Linked DNA regions of Drosophila melanogaster. The protein of the gene in region 4 purifies or fractionates together with the protein of the main gene of each other region. This does not show direct contact. Each region holds a gene or a part of one and is shown on either strand. Other genes may lie near its edges. The genes, in order: Pih1D1, rept, spag and Wdr92.

Region 1 (7,972 bases), on a different chromosome or scaffold from region 4:
TTTAAAACCAATACAAAAGCTCTATAAGCTAGCTTGTAATTGGTTTGTATCAAATTTTTAATTTATTAAGAATTCAAAAGTTTATCCCTTACCAGCGAGCGGTTTCGCCATGGCCGCGTTGATCTTGGTTGCCTGTAGTTTCGGTTTGATTACCGACTGACCAGGTTTGGATGCACCAGGATTGGTGTTCATAGGTTTGTTTGGTTGCGGTGCACGATTGTCTTGTGGAACCGCCGACTTCTTGACCATTTTGTTTGGAATATCAGGATTTAGATTTCGAGTTTGAGATGTGGTTGACTTGGATCTGGGTTGATTAGGAGTCCCAGCATTGATGCGATCTGGCCCCTTGCCAGGATTTAAATTTTTATTGATTCTACGATTTAAATTAGTTCCATCTTGTATGGGACCCCCAGAATGGGCCACACTTGGAGCAGCTTCATCAGCATTTGGTAGGCGGCTTCGTCTGTTTTGATTGGGACCCATGGGTCTGTTAGAGCTCGTATCGCGGCAACGATTTCCAGAACCCGATCCACGGAGAATAGTGTTTGGATAGTTCGGTGGAAAATTAGGGTTATTTGAGCCTTGGAATGTGTCATCCTCCCTTCGGGGAAAGCGTACGGTGTCACCGCCACGCGAATAGTTGTTTCGCTGATTGAAGTTGTCGTTTAAGTTGCGTCGATCGAGTTCTGGATCAAACTGGCGCCTAATGCCCTCAAAGTTACGATCGTTGCGATTGCGTCCATATGAATTACGATCATCGATGTTATGATCTTGGATGTAGTGTTGATTACCCCTTGAGTGGTAACCCTCATACTGATCATCATTCATAAGTGTATCATTTGTGTCATCGATGAAATCGGCATCATCTTCAAGAAATTCGCGTTCATCGGGTATATAGTCGTCTATATCATGGTGTTCTAGATCTAGATCCTCTTCTTCGTCAGTCCAGTCGGTGCGACGTAGTATTATTTGATTGTCATTCACAATACGCTGATAATTGTGCCTCTTTTGGGGTCCACGGTTTCCAACCTGGTCAGCGTTCACATTACGTGGATATGGTGGTTGTTTTGGATGCGCTTCAGGCGAACGGAATCGATCTCTTGGCAGCTGAATGCCGTCATCGCTTATAGCATTACGATCCAAGTTGGGTTGCTGATTCGAAACGAAGTTCTGATTACCAGGCCTGCGATTGTTGTTTACTTGGGAATGATCATTGTTTGGCATCTGAACACGATAGTTGATCTGGTGATTTGGTCCTTGAAAACGTTGGTTATTAAAGTTTGGGTTCTCGTCAAAAGTTTTGCGATTGAATTGTGCATTCGCATTACGATTGTTATGGTTATGTCCTTGAGGGAATGCTTGGTTGTTAACATTACGAGTATTGCGATTGAATTCATCATTGACTGCATTACGATTGTGATTAAATTCCTGCTCGTTATCATTTCGGATATTACGATTGAATTCATGCGGATAGGCATTACGATTATTGCGATTGAAATCCTGTGGATTTTGATTTCTATTGGGACGATTGAAATCCTGGGGGTTTTGATTTCTATTAGATCGATTGAAATCCTGTGGATTTTGATTTCTATTGGAACGATTGAAATCCTGTGGATTTTGGTTTCTATTGGGACGATTGAAATCCTGTGGATTTTGATTTCTATTGGGACGATTGAAATCCTGTGGATTGGGACGTGAACCCTCATTTCGGTTGAAATTGCGATTATTTTGATTGAATTCACTTCTGTCCATATTTCGATTATTTCGATTAAAGTCCTGCGCATTTGCATAACGATTGCGATTGAACTCAGCAGGATTCATGCCAGGATTATTGCGATTTACGGGTCCACAATTCCTATTGATTGGCTCCCGTTGTTCCACAACTCCGCGATTGTTGTTTGGGAAATTTTCCTCTCTCTGACGATTCCTAGAACGCGATCGATCCTTATTAGCCGGTGAGTTATTCATCCTGGCGCTGTGCCAATCAATGTTCCGCGGCGGCGACGGAGTGCGTGGCCGCGACTCGACGTCGTCGTGGCTAGCCACCGCTTCCTCGATGGCTTGGAGCACCTCCTTGTCCACCACATCCTGGTGACTGTCGCCCAGCTCGACGCTGAGGCGGAACCTCTGGCGCTGGAAATGGCGCAGGTTGAACTTGGGCACATTGAAGGTGCGCTGCGCCAAGGCGTTGGCCAACACCCGACTGGCGCCCAGGTCACGGAGAAATTGGCGCCGATTGTCCAGCTCGCTGTTGGCTATTTTCATGGTACCACATATGAAATTTAAAATTTAAAAAAGCAGACACGTTTTAGGTTAGAGCTATGTGGTCACGTTTAGCAAACCAATTCCAATCTAATCTACTCATGACGACAATGCTCACTGAAAATATGCATACAAATTTTAGTTTAAATCTATAATAGATTTGCTTTGTTTTGCATTTCTTCCCACCCTTTAATTGCTTTAACAAATTGTACAACACAAAAAAAAATGATAATTTCAATTGCATTACTACTTGATTGCCTTTTCAGTCGTTATCAAAATGCTGACTAAGTTTGATGTTTGATTTTTTGTCAATCTATAAACACTAAGCACTGCCACTATCTCATATTTTAAATTAAACATCTAAATTGATTAGATTAGAAATTCTATCACAGAATTCTATTCTATTGGTGTGTACTTTCGAAATGCATAGCAGCAAATCCTGTAGTTGTAGTTGTTAAGAAACTACTCAGTAATTATACATTTATGGCATCAAACACACAATAAACTGATAATCAATAGGTATGGTCATGCTTATACCAAAATCGTGAAGAATTCGCAACCAAACACCCATTAAATGCTCTTAATTGTATGACTACTGTTGATATCGTTATCATTTCGGCCCACTTTTGTTGCTCTTGCGACAACAAAACGTTTAAGAGTCGCGTCGTGTGTCCATTTCGGTTCAGAATAATTTCACCAGAGCAGGAAAATATGTTTAAATCGGCACTTAAAATCAGGAAAGAGAGTCGGTATCTTTCAGCTGGGTTTTATTCTGGACAAACTTGGCATTATTGGAGAGTCGGGTGCTTTGATGGCAGGGGGTTTTAATTGATCGGGCGGCCACCAGGCAGTCAGCGCCACAAAAAGAGCCAAGTTAAACGCTCTCCGAGGTGGCGCTATTATCTCATTTTTGTTGTTTTTTTTTTGAGCACGGAAAGCGCGGAAAACAAATAAGTTTGTTCGCAGCGCTCGCTTCGAATTCAGTTTGCCTTTTTGCTCGTAACGAGCCGGTTGTCCGTCGATTTTGAAGTGCTCCGCCGACGCTGCCCTCCATCCAAATCCAAATAGCGATCCGACCTCAACCGCTACGGCTCGTTTTGTTTCGATTCGATTCTATTCACTCCGATCCCCCACAACCGATTCGTTTGAATCGCAGCGAGTTTTTTTCTACGTAGAGGTAATTATAAGTGACATTTCAGTCGCATCGATACCGCCAACAACAACCACCGCCGTCCATTTTTGATACCCTTGTTGATATGTGGTTGTTGGATTCCGCCAAAGCGGAACAAGTGTGCCAGTGTGCGTTCGTATCTATGTGTTGTGTATCTATCTCTGTGTGTCCACATTCTTTGCCTGAAATTGTGAAATTTCCGAAAGGCTCCAGAATATCCCGCGCAAACATTTCTCAGCAAACGAAAGAAATACGAAAAAAAAAAAAAAGAACTGACGAGAAATCGATGATTCACATTCAAAGTAGTTTGATATGGTTAAGTGTTTTGTCATGCTCGCAGCTCGATTATTTAATTGATAACAGAAAAAGTGTAAAAATTGTGGTGCGCAAGGTTGTCGTACTGCTGTTCGTACGAACAAATTTGAAGTTAATTGCCTCGTGGGTTCCACTGACGTCACAGGCCTTGAAAGATGGCCTACGATCTGTGGGTTCGACAGCTTCTCGCCCAGTCCGATGGTAATCAAGCTCCAAGGACTCAGAATCAGCAGCAAGTGGAGCAAACAAGTGTGCGATTAGGAGCAATATAGGGTTTACGATGTGCAATTCATAACTGGAGCAACGACAAACACAATGGAAGAGTCTAGTAGGGGGACAGCAACAGGCAGCACACACGATAAGGTTCAGCTGTGGGGTCCCCGATAAGGAGCTGCTCGTATAATCATTCTCGCTATGTGGAAGTTGTTTTCTCCAGAGTTTGCACACTTGGCTAAATGCAGCCAGTCAGCCTTATCTCAGCTTTTTCCCTATTAATAAAAGTCATCAAGTGTCGAGTGTCGTTGATATTCTGTAAATAAATCACTCTTCTTTGGCGGTGTAAACAATTTGTGCCGGCTGGCATGATCTGATCCAGAACAAACAAACCGTGTGTGTCAGTCAGGTTGTGAAGAGAGTGGCGTTTTTTGCTGAGAAAATTGTCAGGTTTTCTCCTTGATTTTATGGTGCAGCCAAGAGATCTCCATGCCATTTTGCTTAGCATCTCATCGTGAGTCGACGTTTTTGTTTTTAAAGAGAAATTTCACTTGGGTGTAAAGGCAAAACACACACATTTCGTACAATTGAAATATTAGGTTTTGTAAGGGGGTTTTTTCTGCCGATTGTTTTGTGCTTATATAATCGCTGCGGGAACAGGTTTCGCCGTTAATTATATCGAACTGAAAATACTCGTTTCAGATGTGTTAGAATTTTATCTAAAGTCAAATGGCTTAAAACACATGCGTGTACGGGGCAAACAAGTTTTTGGCGCCCATAAAATGTGACTAGCCCAATACCTTTTATGAGCTCCGTTCAAGATTCGCTTAAAGTTTCTCATTCCTTCTTTTTAGTTGTGTGTATCTCTGTGTAAATTAGTTCTTCTTCGAGGCGGGGAAACACGTTTTAGTCGCTCATTTGTCATTGGCATTGTACAATCTCGCTGGACTATAAACTATCGTTTCAAGTGGGCGCGATTAGACCTTCCTCCAAGTGGCCCTGGACATGTAAACACTTAACTGCCGTAGCGCACAATAACGACGGCTAGATTACAAAACTTCGTACTAACTACCCGCTCAACCCTCTTTTTGTTTCAATACGATAGATAGTTTGTCAAATAATAGTGTGCATAGGAATTAAACTGATTTGTTTGGATAATTGATTTTTTGCCTTTGTTTTGACGAATTATCCAATAGTTAAGTGCAAAATACTAATTAATAACCATTAAAAGATTGGAAATTTGAATATACAAAAAGTGTGCACAAACTATAGTTAACTTACGGAATTAATTAAAAAATTTAGAGCAATTGATTCAATTTTAAATACAAGTAATTCGGATATGTTTTCAATATTCGTAATTGGTTTTTAAAGTCTTGTCGAAGATTCGTTAGGATGGGTTTTTCTGTCCTATGACGTGTTCCATTCGCGTGCGTTTGTTCGCCTTATCGCGGGTTCACTGTACCACCCCGAGCGATTACGCGCAATCGACGTCGACGTGAGATGTTTATCAGGTTGACATGGTTCCGCGCTCGCAGAGATTACTGTGCACACACAAGTGCTAAGTAGACCATAAACCCAGAGTCATGCCTACTACTAGCTGGCTGTAATCTCCGGTTAGATTCTCCGCGCCACCGGCAGCGATTGCTGTGCCATGTGAAGCTCCGGCTGTTGCAATGGACGCCACTTACCTGCGGTCGGCTGGACAATCAGCGAGTCTCGCGGCGGCGGTTTCTGCTGCGGGCCGCTGCCCTCCGGATCGGCGCCTCCAAAGTACTGGTTAATATTGTCCTCAAACTCGTTCTGCATTTAGAAAATGAAAAAAAAAAAAAACAAGTTCATCTTTAGTGGCGCAGATAGTTCCTCACATCGAATTTCTCAAGTTTTGCTTACCCGCACAAAGCGCAGGTTCTGGTCGCGAAAATTGTCGTTGCCCTCAATGAAATTGGAACGACGCGACATTTTGCTGCACGATTTCAATTGCCAGTTACGAGTTAATCCAATGCAAATGCTATTTTTGCGCTGAGCGACGAGCGAAAAACGCAAATTTTATTTGCCAGAATGGAGCTGTCAACTCGATTGAAATGAAAACTAATGTGACAGTGTGAACGCCGGTGGAAAAACATTTAATGCCATGCGATAGGCTAAAAATACTAGATAGGCGTTTTCCCTGTACAGGGTGCTCATTAATAAAAAGTAAATGACAAGAATTTTCGAGAATAATTGCTATGAATTTCTATATGAAACTTTAAAAGCTTAATCCAAATTTAAGAAATTCATTTGTATTTTTGCTGTTGCAAATGCAATTGATTTCTACTTGCTTCTACTAAGTTTTCCAAGCAAATGTATTTTAATAATTTATGTACAAAAATTACAAGTTTCACTTAAATCAATATAAACAATTAAAATAACACGCAGTGCAGAATTATACACTCATTTTCCATCCGACACCCACTGTGCCCGCGAAATACCAGAAAAATACTAGCAATCAACTTCCCACTGTCACGATTAGCGGTTGTTGTAGTTGTGCGGCTTGGGAAGGAACAGCTGTTGGCCCGAAAATATAGATCCGTTTATTTCCTTGCCGCTTTACAGTTACCACATCGCCCGATATAGCATACGCATATAGCCCAATTGCACGTGGAGGAGGTTGCCGAGCAGTCGAGTAACCATGGCGGATGACACTAGTTCGCCGATGGACAGATTCTGCGGATCCACGTTCTGGGTGAGTGCATCAGCAGTGGTGTTCAATCCGAATGCATAGTGTAAATGTATGGTTTCCGTGTGTCCAACGAACAGAACGCAACAGAGACATGGTATACCAACGATCCGGACTTTACGCCCTGCTTTGAGCAAACGGCGCTGGTCTGGACACCCTGCGCCTTCTACTGGGCGTTCGTGATCTTTGACTTTTACTACCTGAAGGCGAGTTTGGACAGGAATATACCGTGGAACAAGCTGAACGTGAGCAAAGCTCTGGTGAATCTGGGTCTGCTGGTAATCACTGCCCTGGACCTAATTATGGCGCTGGTCAAGAAGGGCGGCGACTCTGAGCTGCCGCTCTACGACCTGGATGTTTGGGGTCCCATCATCAAGTTCGCCACCTTCCTGTTGCTCTTCATATTCATCCCGCTGAATCGAAAGTATGGCGTGCAGACCACGGGATGTCAGTTCATCTTCTGGTTCCTGCTCACTGTGCTGTCGATTCCCCGCTGCCGCACTGAAGTTCGACTGGACGCGGAGCGCCAGAAGATTCTGAATTCGCAACAGCCATCCGAGCAGGACTTTTCCTGGGAGGAGTATCAGTTCGTTAGCTTCTTTATCTTCTTCACCTTCACCAGCATTATGCTGATCCTGAACTGCTTCGCGGACGGAATGCCCAGACAAACCAAGTACCAGAGGGGTGAGAACGAGATTCCCGAACTGTCAGCCAGTTTCCTTTCCCGCATCACCTATCAGTGGTTCGACAAAATGGCCCTCAAGGGCTATCGCAACCCGCTGGAGGAGAAGGATCTGTGGGACCTGAGGCCGCAGGACAGCTGCTCCGAGGTCATGCCCATCTTCGCCCACCACTGGAACCAGAACGTGCGCAAGAACTACAAGAACAAGGCGCGCGTAGAACCCAAGGCGCAGTTTAGCAATGGCAACGTGACCTTTGAGAATCCCCACGGTGAGAAGAATGGCCGCAAGAAGGGCATGGCCAGTATTATGCCGCCAATTTACAAGTCCTTCGGAGGCGTCTTTCTGTTCGGCGCCCTAATGAAGCTGTTCACCGACACCCTGACATTTGCCCAGCCCCAAGTCCTGAGTTTGATCATCAGCTTCGTCGAGGCCCAAGATGCCGAGCCCGAATGGAAGGGTATCTTATACGCTGTCCTGCTTTTCGTTTTGGCCGCTGCACAGACCTTTATTCTGGGGCAATATTTCCACCGAATGTTCATTGTGGGCCTGCGAATCAGGACAGCTTTGATCAATGCCATCTACCGCAAGGCCCTGCGCATTTCGAACTCCACC
Region 2 (4,253 bases), 1.3 Mb from region 4:
ATAACGATACACCAGGGTCTTTGAAAATCAAACTCAAATTTCATTTATTGAAAGGGGAGCAGCGCTCAAGGAGACTAACTAAGCCATAAAGACAGTTTTATACCAATGTAAAGATGATGCGACGATATATTTTGATATGCTCACGCTAAGTTTTAATGTCAGTAAATTGAAATGCGAAATAAATGCAATGAAATTATTTTTAGGTACAAGACGCGTGGCTGTTTTTCTAGTTATTTCCTAAGATAGCTCAAACTAGAAATTAGTGAGAATTGTAGTAGGAATCGAATAACATGCGCATTAAGTTCATTTCTGCGTTTTATTGATTATAATTATTATTTTGCAAGCTACTAAACGCAATTTTTAAGTTAATTATTGAAAAATTTGTACTATCTTGATTCCCTTGCTACAATGAGAAGAAAAATGATTTTATTTTTAGCCAATGCTGTATTTAACTACCCCAATTGGCCATTTGATATCCTTTTCCGAAATTATAAAACTTTGAAACCATATGCTGATAATGGTTTATTAATTACAATCGTTATAAAACCATGACCAAATTCGTAGGCATTTAATTTAATCATAGATACAAGGAAACTTATTTATTGATCATAAAATAGTCATGAGAATGTACTGGGGGGTTGCTGCGATGTCAGTTTAGACTCTAGTGCTCCATGGGCTGGGCATCTCCTCCGCCGCCCTCCACGCGACGCTTTGCCCCGCCTCCAGCGGCCGGGTCCCTTTCCACCTCCTCGGTGATCTCGCTGAACATGTAGTCATCCTGGTACTCCTTGAGGATCTTGCTCGAGCGATTCTCGTCCAGGAAGAGCGAGTAGACCTTCTTCACATCCTCGGTATTGACTTCGGTGGCCTTGCGGCGACGACAGACCAAGTTGGCTGTGGTAATCAGTTGGATGGCGTAGCGTAAACTGGTATCTGTGGCGATGCGTGTAAGAATGGTCAGGGCATCCGGGTGCATGATGCAGTCCTCCTCCTCGCAGCGAATCTTTAGGATCTCCTTAACCTCCTTCTCGGAATACGGTACAGTGCGTATGATGATCATGCGATCGAGTAGATCAATGGGTATGCCGTGCGGACTGCGATAGTTAGTGCCCCTAATACGAGTGATGCCGCGGTTGGTGGCCATCACCACCACCGGAGCCATGTCCGACTCCAGGGCGCGATTCAGGAAGGAGAAGCACTCAATGTCCAGCATGTGCACCTCGTCTATGAAGAGTACTCCCGGATTTATCTCAGCTTTGCCCTCCTCGCGCCACTCGAGAACCTTGTTGTTGATCTGATCGCGAACCTCCTGCTTGATCTCTCCAGTATCGCCGGAGAACAGGGCCAAGAACCCGTGGGTGCGACTATTGATAACATCGATCTCGTGTAGGGTCACAGTGTGCACCACCTCCTTGCGTTTTTGAAGCTCACCCTCGGGGCATTGGACGAATCTGGTCTGAGCGCCAGTGGCGTCGTAGTCCCTGGCTCTGGTGAAGCTGCGACCCAGCTTGTTGACCTTTCCGGACGCCTTGTCGATGGTGATCACATCGCCAGCCTGGATCTTCTCTTTCATGAAGCACTCGATGATCTTGTTGCCCAGATCGTAGTTGGTTTCCATCTCGGTGGTCTTGAGGGTGACCTTGCCCACCTTCTGTCCGGTACCCGAGGCGGGGCGTTCGATCTGGATCTCCACCACTTCGCCCTCGATGATCTCGGTTTCCTCCTTGATGCGAACGCCAATGCTCTTGCGCAGTGCCTGTGACAGAGCCTCGGTCTTGCTCATCTCCAGCGAGTATATCTCCGATCCGGACATGCTAGTGAATGGGGTCTCGGTGCCCAGAGCCTGCGCCATTCCCACAGCAATGGCCGTTTTGCCGGTACTAGGCTCCCCGGCCAATAGGATACATCTTCCGGCGATCTTGCCCTCGCGAACCATCTGCACCACAACGCCGGCGGCACGGCGCGCGTCCTTCTGGCCCACCATTCCCTGGGATACCAGACGAGCCTCCAGCACATCGTCCAGTCCCAATCCGCGGATATGCGAATGGGCGCCAATGCGCTCGATGCGAGTCACGTCGCGAACCTCGATTTTCTCGGTCTCGGCCATTTTGTGCTTTTGATTCTGTCTACTGTATCACTGGTCGGGAGTTGTACTCTTGTGCGATCTTTTCAGTGGCTTACTAGTTGTTTACTGGGCTTAAATAAGTTGCTAAGCATAAAATTCGTATATGAAATTACCGGCCTGCTTGGAGTAGTGTTGAAAGTTCGATGATTACACAGCACTGTTATGCGCAGCACATGCTGTCAGTGATGGCAGCGTGGGAGAACATTCGCTAGCGGCAGCTAGGTTTTACAAGTACACAAGCCGCTAAATATAATACGATTAAATTAAATGTAAAGGAAACCATTTTCCGAAATATCTGCAAGTGTGCGGTAACTTATTGTTATTTATTGAGTTGCTTCAAGCTTTAGTCGTACTAGCTATTACAAGCTATTTCTGAAAATGTAACAGGGATGTTAACGTGCGCATGCTAACACAGCTGTTCGAAAACGCGTTAGTGTTATTCACATTTTGCCTATCTGCCGACATTAAACCGATCCGATTTATTTATGTACTTTTGAGTTAAAAACAAAGCCAAACGATGTCCTTTCTAGCGCAAACTATGCGTCAAATGCTACGCCACGTGCCCAATCGCAGTTTGTTGACGGCAGGTAAGTGAATATTAAATAGCATCGATGTAAACAATGTGACATAACCAGGTCCCAATGAAATCCCATTCTTTTGTAGGTGCCATGCGTCCACTGAGCATATCGCCGGTAATTGGGCAGCAAAACAAGCCGGCGACGGAATCGGTGGATTTATCGGCCATAGCTAAGGATCAGCAGAAGGAGTGCCTGAGCATCTGCGAGCGCATCAACCGGCAGGTGCAAAAATCCGAGCAGGGACGACTCTTCGCGGTTGTCCACCTGTGCGGCAAGCAATTTAAAGTAACTCCAGGAGATATCATCCTGGTGGAGGGATACTGGCCGCCAACGATAGGCGACGAGATCAGCCTGGATAAGGTGCTCCTGGCCGGTGCCCGCGACTTCACGCTCGTGGGAAGGCCCATTTTGGAGCCCGGACTCATCTTGGTGAAGGCCACCGTCGTGGAGAAGACGCTCAGCCACACGAAGACGCACTTTAGGAAGAAGCGCAGGAAGCAGTACATGCGCATCAACTTCCAGAGATCTCCGCACACCATGGTCCGGATCAATTCAATTGAACTGGCTCGTCCAGTGGACGGGAATGGCGAGGGGGAGTCTTCCTCGAGGCGCTTGTTTTAGTTTAAAATGCTGTTGATCACGAAAAATAAACCAAGTTTTTGGAAGGTAATTAAGAAAACACAAACCACTTTGAACTGGAAGAGGATAACTTTATTCAGATGCTGATTTTGTATATTTTCTAAAACGGTTGAAACTTTTCTAGTGATATTTGTATATTTGCCCTTAATTCATTAATAATAAATGTCATAAAAATTCAATATTCTTAGGACTTTGTTACAATACAGATAATTAAGATAAAACCCATTTTGTAATTGATGAAATGTTATAAAGTTCTTGTTTTATCTAAGTCACCAAAATCAATTGTAAGCATCAGTTTGGTTTTAACTGCAGTCACTGATATCAGTGTTAACAGTACATATAGTTCTATAGTTCAGTATATTTTAAGCTCATATTAACTTTTAAAATATGGCTAGCTACAGTTTCTAAGTTTTGGCAGAATGTTCAGCAAGTTATCTAGCAATTTTAAAAACCAAGCAAATGTTTTACCAATTTTCATTCCTATTTTTGCCTCGTGGAATTTTGCAGATATTGCCCTTCTGCTGTTGCTTTTTGTCTTTCCATTAGAAATTCCACTTTCATCTTGATTCAATGACTCTGCCCGACAGTATTTACCCAAAACGGCAACCTAGTTTGGAATACGAGCTACCCAGCTCCCGACTCTTGCACCGCGACAAAGAAGAGGCGCCTGCTCTAATGAAGCAACCAGTAGAACCACTGCAATTTTAATGACAACCTTTTATCGCTCATGATGTTGTTGCCATCTTTCATTAAAAAAGACGTCGCTGCACCATCCAACCAAACTACCAAACTACCTAGCCAGGTCGGAACCACCCAACCAGGCAGCCCGACCACGATTTATAACCTATGGACATGGCTCACATGGGATGCCTGCTGTTTTCTTTATCAGCAGATGTAAGTTGCTCCCGAGT
Region 3 (4,276 bases), on a different chromosome or scaffold from region 4:
TAAAGTAAAACCCGGCCCCTGTGCTTAGTGCACCAGCTCTCACGCAATTAGTGGGCCGCCCGGGTGCCTCGGTGGTGCGCGGTTCTCGGCGAGATGCCCCTCCTGCTTTGGGGGCCCCTCCTGGTGCTCCTGGCTGTGGTTTCGCTGTAATGATATGTGCACGGATCGGATAAGCCGACTGATCATCAGCGCTTCCAACTTAACGTCGCTTAATGGAGTTGTTGTTCTTGCTGGAAGGCCCATTTTAGGTGGCTTCGCAGATTGAATTAATGCGCTGATTTATGTAAATTACACTAATTCGTATTACTCAATTGGTTATTCAATATTCATGGTCTGGTCGGGCAAGAACGGTTTGTTTGCTCAAATGGTCTTCTGCATATGGAATTTTCGGCTTATACTAGGCTAAAAAACATGAGTCACTTTGAGATATTCCCAGCATGTGTAACTAGTGAGCATCTTAGCGTATCTAATAAACGCTGAACAAAACACATTCAATCATTCGCATTCTGTGTAACGTTTTGGGATCCTATCTACAAATCCTCTTTATATTTTAAACATTTTTGTTGTTTTAGTTGATTTTGGAGCTAACAATTTGAAGCAACATAAGTACATTTTAACATAAAACATTGGGTGTTTAGGCTACTCCGTATTCCTTGAAAAGGTTGTCCAGCACAGCCGGATTCTTGCTGGGCCAGTTCTTGATGGCGTTGAGGATAGACGAAACCACTGTGAAAAGGGGAAAGTACATGAAATGCAAACGAAATTATGCAAGAAAAGTTTTGTCACCTACTTTTCTTCTCCTCTGCGGACATGAGCATGGCCAAAATGGTGAATTCGTCATTTTTGCTGATCTCCAGCAAGACAGCTGCTGTGTTTGGCTCCTTATTTGGTACAAAGAAGTCGTGGATGGTGCGCAGCAGGTCGGCAAACGTGTCCGAATCGAAGCCTGCTCCCAGGATCTTACACAGATTCGGGACTTCAATGGACTTTAGGTATTGGTACTTCTGCGGACCACTCAGCTCCTTCCAGGTCACATGGAACTGTGCTGTGCTCGTGGGTGCGGGCGGTAAGAAGCGCTAAATCATAGAGAATTGGTTTAATAATAATTCAGCTTTGATCTTAAGCGAACCTACCTCTATTGGACTGGGTGACATTGCGTTGTTGCTCGAAGCTTGTTCAATTTTTTCAGTTTGCACGGTATTGACTTCTGGGCTGCGTTCTATTGTGGTCTTTGGTGGAGAAACTTGAGTCTGAACCTTGGGGACCTCGACAGCCGTTTTTTTGGGTGCACTTGGCTTGGCCTCATTATCGGATTCAGGCACAATCTTGGTATCCTTGCGTGTTTCTGTTTCTTTGGGGGTTTCCACAGCTGGAGCTACTTTAACCGCAGTCTGTTTGGTAGGCTTGACTTCTTTGGAGGTCTTAGCAATGGTCTCAGCTTTGGGTGGACCTGATGTGTCTGGCATTGGCGTCGGCTTTGGATTTGTTTTTTTGACCTCTTCGATTATGCCGCAGTTACTATTAAATATCTTATCTATGTCCTCATCCGAAATGCGTAGTTGGTTGCTATCATCGATGGTAGCACGAGGAGATACCACGTCTACAACGGGAACACTGCGCATTGCCTTCTTGGAGCGTTTATAAGCAGGCTTCTCGATTGGCAAGATCTCAATCATGCCAGGACGATCGGGTGTAAAGTTTGGCCCACTTTTGGTGGCTGTAAGGATGCCAATGAAAAGCCTTAAAATATGCTTACTAGGTAATCAAAATTATATTTACCAATCTTGCGCAGACGGTCGTTGATTCTGGCCAGGCTCCTCTTGGCCTCGATGTTCTTCGGCTCGATGGCCAGCACAGTGGTGCAATCCTTCAGGGCTTCCATGTTGTTGCCCAGGGACTCGTTGGCCTGCATTCGCCGGTAGTAAGCTTTCACGCAGAGCTTATCCAGCGCAATGGCGGCCTCGCAGTCCTCCACGCATTGATCAAAGCTGCAAGGATAAATATGCATGTAAGGAAGAAGTATCGAGAACATTCTAAACAGTCCTACCTCTCCTGTTTTAGGTAGCACAGTGCCCGGTTAATGTGGTAAATGGGATCGTGGGGATAGACGGCAATGGCAGTGGAGTAGGCCACGATGGCCTTCTCGTACTCCCCCTGCTTGACATAGGTGTTTCCACGGTCCTTGATGTCGTTGGCCTTCTTGTACTGCTGGGCCACAGGATCCACTGGCAAGTCCTGTTTCTCCGTGGGTGAGCTGGCCGCCGAGGAGGATGGGCTCTCCTTCCGCGACTTGTCTGTCTGGACATGACTGCGCACTGGCAGATCCTGCATTGAAAGTGTGAGCTTTACTTGTTAATACCAAAGAATTTAAAGCTAACCTTATTGGCGGCAGAAAGCGGCGACTTCTGGAGCTCTTTCTCCTTGTTTTTAATGTCTTGCTCCCAGGAGTACAAGTCCTTCACGGAGTTCTCGTACTCCCGCGCGTTCTGGCGCACCTGGCGCTGCAGTTCGAAGGCTTTTTCCTGTGCACTCATATTGATTTGCCTTGTCAAGTGGCTAAAGAAATATTAAATGTTTGTTATTTCTGTTGCTAGCGCTCCGACAGTCTGGCAGCACTGCTCGCTGTCGATAGTTCAACTGAGTTGCTGTTTCATCGAACAGAGCTGCCAACTCTATTTTTGTAGCTGGCCAGCCAGGATTGCCAGAGTAAGGCCCTCAAATCAGCTGTTTTGTGTTTTGATTTTATTTTGAAAGTCCTAGTTTAAAATTATGCTTTCTCCGACAGATCAGCACAAATAATACTAATAAAGCTCACAATGCTAAGGTTGTGCCTTCCAACTCGAGCTGGATATGTGCGTAAGTAAGGACTTTACGTCTATAAAACTTGTTATGTAAAGTAAATGTTTGCCTATTGCGCAGTTTCTCGAACGACAAACCAAGAAAACCCGAAACACACTATGAAGTTTTGAATATTCGCAATGATTGCAGCACCCGTGAAGTCCGTAATGCCTTTGTCCAGCTCTCCAAATTGGTAAGTAACTCCAAGATTCCAAAGGAGCCTCCTAAACCCTGCCCTTTCCACAGTACCACCCAGATGTTAAGAGCAATGCTGCGTGTCCGGAGCGCACAGCCCGATTTGTTCAGATCTCCGAGGCGTACAAGACCCTGATAAAGCCGGAGCGGAGGAGAGACTACGATGACAGCCTGCTGTGGCAGCCATCGCGCTCGGACCGCAGTCCCGTTGGCGAGACGGTCAATCCCGGCCAGGCGTGGGATGTGAGGCCCAACTACGATCCCAATCCAGGACCGTACTATGGCATCCGTGGTCTGAAGAGGGTCTCCAACTGGCAGGTGGCCGTGGTTCTGATGGCCCTAGGCTTCGTCGGGGCACTCTTTGGCTTCACCTCCGTCAGGTTAATGATTATGAACCAGAGAATTTAAGTAGTCACACTGAACTTTCACCATCCCCAACAGGTCGTCCTTTAAACTGAGTCGCCAGATCCAGGACGAAATCTCAGCAGAGGCTAATTCCCATCATGCCGCCGTTGTGGCCGATGCCCAGAAGTACGGCAACGAGGAGCAAGTGCGTCGTATGGTGGACCGTATGTCGCGGAGTCCTTTCAACCAGTCTTCGGCTAAGTAATCCCATTTCCCCATTTCCTTTGGTCAAATTAAACGTGAAAGCATATAGCTATTTTTGAATATTTTGTTTTGGTTCAAGGCAAAGCAAACTCAAGAGCGATTGCTTAAGCGCCAGTGTGTTTTGCCAAAATTAAACAATTTCGTCGGCCTTCGTAGGCGATTGAGCAAACTGTGCAAACAACCAGGGCGACTACTTAAGCACTCCGGCCGCATCCATCGAAGCATATTAAAAGCAATCCTACTACCAACATGAAGTCAACTATTCAAATCGGCACCCTGTGCATCGTGGTGCTCGTGATCTGCTGCCTGGACTTCTCCAGTTCACAGAACTCCTCCTCCACTTCCACCAGTCCCACCTACAGCTCGTCCAGCACGCCCAAGAAAGTGTACCTGTCCAACTTGACGTACTCGATTGTGAGGAAGATCCGTGTGGGCACCACCACCGCCAGCAGCACCAGCCGTAGTTCCAGGACCAGGAGCAACCGGAAACTGAACGCCAAGAAGACCCAGGCCAAACGGAGCCAGGCCAAGCGCTCCGGCAAGAACAGGAAGTCGAACTCCCGCCGTGCCAGCAGGGGCTAAGTTGTTGTCCAGTCGGTTATGTTATTAAGACAAGGTTTTATTTTGAGCTCGT
Region 4 (3,687 bases):
AGACTCATAAAGCTTCTGGGACAGCAGAGCATTCAACATGGTAACGAGCCTCTTGTGTGGGAACTGGCCGCCTTGGTGGCCCAAACGCCACTGAAGAAGGCCGAGAAACTGGTAAAATCGTATCGTGCGTACACACCGAAGCATTTGGGCTGGGAAACCAAGTCGGAGCACGCTTTAAAAGCCCTAGATCTTTGTTTAGAGGTCTGCGATCTCTCAGTGGCGGCCATCACAGAGCACATTCAAGAGGAAAGTGAGGTAATGATTACCTCTCAACTAAATTCAGCCAGACTGGCGGGAACATCTTGTCTGAATGCTTTGAAGAGAGCCATAAATGTGGATGTATCGGCAGAACAGACTGCAAAAGTGGAGCAGCTGGAAAAACGCATCGAAGACCTGACAAAAATTGTCCAGGAACGAATGAATGCGTCTCGATCTTAGTTATACACTATATAAGGTTTTATACTATTTTGTAATTGCAAAACAAATAAAAAGAGTCATTTTTTATTGTACATGAAATAGTTTATTGCTGATATATATTTGTAAGCTAGTTTTGATTTGTAATATAATTCAGCTCAAGCAGATTATCCAGTTTTTCTGATTTTAAAAGCTATTGCGCATTAAGGATTTATTGTCTAGCAATAGGTGCAATGAAAGTGTATTCATAAAAATATAAACCTATGAATTAACCCATCATCCAATATCACAAGTATGAAGCATTTCTTTAATGGGTTTCTTTTGATGTCCACCATCTAAAAAGTGTTTAGTTTGGTGGTAATTAAAACGCGCACGCTTTGATCGAATGCTCCACAGACGGCTAGGCCCAGTTTGTCTGGATGCCAGTCAAAGCAGTGAACCGGCTGAGAGCTCAAAGTGGCTGCACTAAGCATATTAAGGGCTCCAGCAACTCCCAACTTGTTTCCATCAGAGTCATCAATGACCCTCCTGTCGGGATACTCGTACTGCCACAGGCGAATGGAACCAGTTCCGCCGCCCGTGAGAAAGAGATCCCGATTCTGGGGCAGATGACGAACTACCCAAACGGTGGCTTTGGGTCCGCTGATCACGCCATTTGTTCCCACGCTGCGTCCGGCGTTGCGTTCCTCCACGTAACTAAATCCCTTGGTCGGATGTTGGGTTCTCATATCGAAGACAAGGAGACCGCCCTCCAAAGTGGTGACCGCTAGCTTGTTCATGGGAATGTCCCGGCGATCGAACTCCAGTCCACAGATACCATTCTTCATGGTGGCCTCCCAGCGTACGGAAAGGGATCGCAAATCGAATATCTTTAGATCTCCATTATCATAGCCGGCGGCAACGATGCGCTCCTCAGCGTTGTAGGTATTTCCAAAGGCCACGGCCCAGCAGTCCCGGCGGCCACTGCTGTTGTTAACGCCATCGCCCATTTGCGGCGGCGGCGACATGTCCACCACAGGAGCCTGCCCCTGGCGGATATCCCAGACTTTAACGGCGCCGTCACGACTTCCAGTAACGATTTCCGGAGCACCGCAATCGATTTGTGTGCCGCCAATCGCGTCGATGGTGTTGATGATGCCGTTGTGGGCCTTTACATTGTAGACCGGAAGGTCCGGCTGCTCCATATCCCTGCAAAGAACACATGTCAGAGAAGCATCTAATGACTTAAGCGGGATTATGCTTACAGAACTTGCAGCCTGCCCTCGAAATCTCCGATGGCCATGTGGCGGTTCCTGAGCGAAGCTGCTCCGAAGGTGCCGCATTTGAAGGCAACCTTCTTCTCTACGGACTTCACTTTCACCAGCTTATCCTGGTTGAGTTCGTAGATGTCCATGATTCCGTGCCCGTTGGCCTTGGAGCCCAGAATCACAAACTTGGCCGAAAGGGGCACCCATTTCGTATCGTACACCGTGTAGTTGAGTGCCTCGTGGAGGTGCTCAATAAGCTGGGGCTTGTCCATTTCAACGATCTATATTTCCGTCTCAACTTTATGCTAATATTCCAAAAGCGGCCGGTGAAAACTTAAGGATTTATCAAAAACAAGTTGTTTTGTTGTCATGGCTATCTCTTCCTCTTTTTCAGTGTAGCCGTACATGCAGCGCCTGAAATATACCAATCAGCTGACGGAAATATACCAAATCTAATTTTTAAATAGATAAATTATAACATATCCACTAAAATGCAATATTTAAAAAAATAATAACGCTTAACGTTTGTAAAAAGTATATCCCATTACTATAGTTCACATTTTGTACTCATATAATCAAATAATTTAAAATTTACGAAATAATGTGTGTGTACGATAGTTATGCCGATACATTAGAAGGCATCGGGAACAGCTGTTAATGGTGGTAAGCTTAAAAAGCTTTCGCCACTCTGTGAGTTGAATACTTTTTTCTTCAGTTTTACTGGGTCAGTCGGACGCTGTTTTGCTTCTGTCGCGGATTTTCCACATATTTAGTTTTTGGCGCGAGCATCTTTTTTTGGCGTTCGACCCCCCAATAGCAACAACAACAGCAACAGCAGCAACAACTTCATATATAACGACAAAGAAACACTTTTACGTGTGTCGCAAGCGACGCTTTTCTGCATTAAAAAAAAAACGATGAGATATTAAACGTGCGGGGTTAAATAAGCGAAAATAAATATTATTGAAATAACAAAGCGCAGCTTATAGCGTTGGCTATTAATTTGCGGGCCTTTTAGCCGGTTTTATATAAGTGATAATCGTTTTGGCAGAACAAAAACTCGCTAAAGAGTGCTCAAAGTTTAGCATATTTGCGATGCATGCGCCAGAAAAGTGTTAATCAATTTTTTATTGGCAACAAGTGATACAACAATAACAAAGGCGCTATCAAAAGTTGAAGGTGCCAACAAATCGACGGCAGTATAGACGACTACAAGAACAACAACTACAGCAACAGCTGTACTCGTTGGCAACCGAATTGAGTGCCAACTAAAAATTAATGTAGTTTCTCAAAGGTAAAAGCCACAAAGATTCTTCCATTCTCGGCATGTTTTCACATTCATTTGTATTGCCCAACATTTCCTTACTTCCGCCGTTGCCTTTCGATTTATCGTCAATTTTGGGGACAATCACGTTAATTGTGTACTTTTCAGCTTTTTCATTGGCTTTATTGTTTCTGTGTGCCCTCTCTGTTGTTTTCGGTGCACTTGCACTTGACACACACTCATAGTGTATAATATTTAGTATATAAGCGTTATAGTACATCATGTATATAGTACATATGTTTATGTCATTCTTCCGTTTTGGCGACTTTTTGCCAACCTGTCGCATCGCCCGTTCGGAATACCCTATACTTATTGGGATTTGTTGATAAGCCCACCACGCTGGGGAGAACAAATAGTGAATGGAAACTAATTGGTTTTTTGGTCTGAAAAAAAAAAAAAAGTAAATATTATGCAACACGTAAAGTGCACAATTATAAAGGCAATTATTTCTACAAAAATTCCCCTTAACAGTCGACTTGGTCTTTTTGTAAAAATTATTGGTTATGAATACAGAACCAGATTTAAATAAATCTATAATTATATTTTCTTTCTGACAAATATAAAATTCTAGCTTTATACTTTCCCACAACGAAGCGAATAAAACTTGTGAATTACTTATCAATCAATCGGTAATTTACACAGATTATTTTTATACATTATCACTTATACGTGAACTGTAAAGATTGCCAATAGTCGTTGCCT

Evidence for each region.
Region 1: the proteins of Wdr92 (region 4) and Pih1D1 purify together in Drosophila melanogaster (affinity purification with western blotting; one study listed by BioGRID). This does not show direct contact.
Region 2: the proteins of Wdr92 (region 4) and rept purify together in Drosophila melanogaster (affinity purification with western blotting, with the first as the bait; one study listed by BioGRID). This does not show direct contact.
Region 3: the proteins of Wdr92 (region 4) and spag purify together in Drosophila melanogaster (affinity purification with western blotting; one study listed by BioGRID). This does not show direct contact.

Annotation. Positions count from the first base shown.
Region 1 is NT_033779.5:12,715,802-12,723,773, forward strand, and holds the start of Pih1D1 (PIH1 domain containing 1), read right to left. Parts: upstream 6,043-7,972; 5' UTR 5,921-6,042; coding exon 5,852-5,920; intron 5,762-5,851; coding exon 5,650-5,761; intron 3,440-5,649; exon of another isoform or gene 3,244-3,439; intron 2,256-3,243; coding exon 93-2,255; intron 1-92. Other genes in the region: MRP (Multidrug-Resistance like protein 1), read left to right, coding at 6,630-6,683, 6,758-7,972.
Region 2 is NT_037436.4:19,253,369-19,257,621, reverse strand, and holds rept (reptin), read right to left. Parts: upstream 2,283-4,253; 5' UTR 2,108-2,282; coding exon 662-2,107; 3' UTR 511-661; downstream 1-510. Other genes in the region: mRpL21 (mitochondrial ribosomal protein L21), read left to right, coding at 2,643-2,712, 2,789-3,324. UniProt on the Drosophila melanogaster protein: Acts as a transcriptional coactivator in Wg signaling caused by altered arm signaling. Pont and rept interfere antagonistically with nuclear arm signaling function, and are required to enhance or reduce arm activity, respectively.
Region 3 is NT_033778.4:24,157,729-24,162,004, reverse strand, and holds spag (spaghetti), read right to left. Parts: upstream 2,622-4,276; 5' UTR 2,535-2,621; coding exon 2,379-2,534; intron 2,326-2,378; coding exon 2,048-2,325; intron 1,989-2,047; coding exon 1,780-1,988; intron 1,718-1,779; coding exon 1,134-1,717; intron 1,077-1,133; coding exon 791-1,076; intron 727-790; coding exon 635-726; 3' UTR 502-634; downstream 1-501. Other genes in the region: DnaJ-60 (DnaJ-like-60), read left to right, coding at 2,817-2,860, 2,920-3,031, 3,085-3,413, 3,475-3,643; CG42568 (uncharacterized protein), read left to right, coding at 3,892-4,224.
Region 4 is NT_037436.4:17,906,500-17,910,186, reverse strand, and holds Wdr92 (WD repeat domain 92), read right to left. Parts: upstream 2,045-3,687; 5' UTR 1,934-2,044; coding exon 1,659-1,933; intron 1,603-1,658; coding exon 750-1,602; 3' UTR 504-749; downstream 1-503. Other genes in the region: CG5290 (uncharacterized protein), read left to right, coding at 1-438.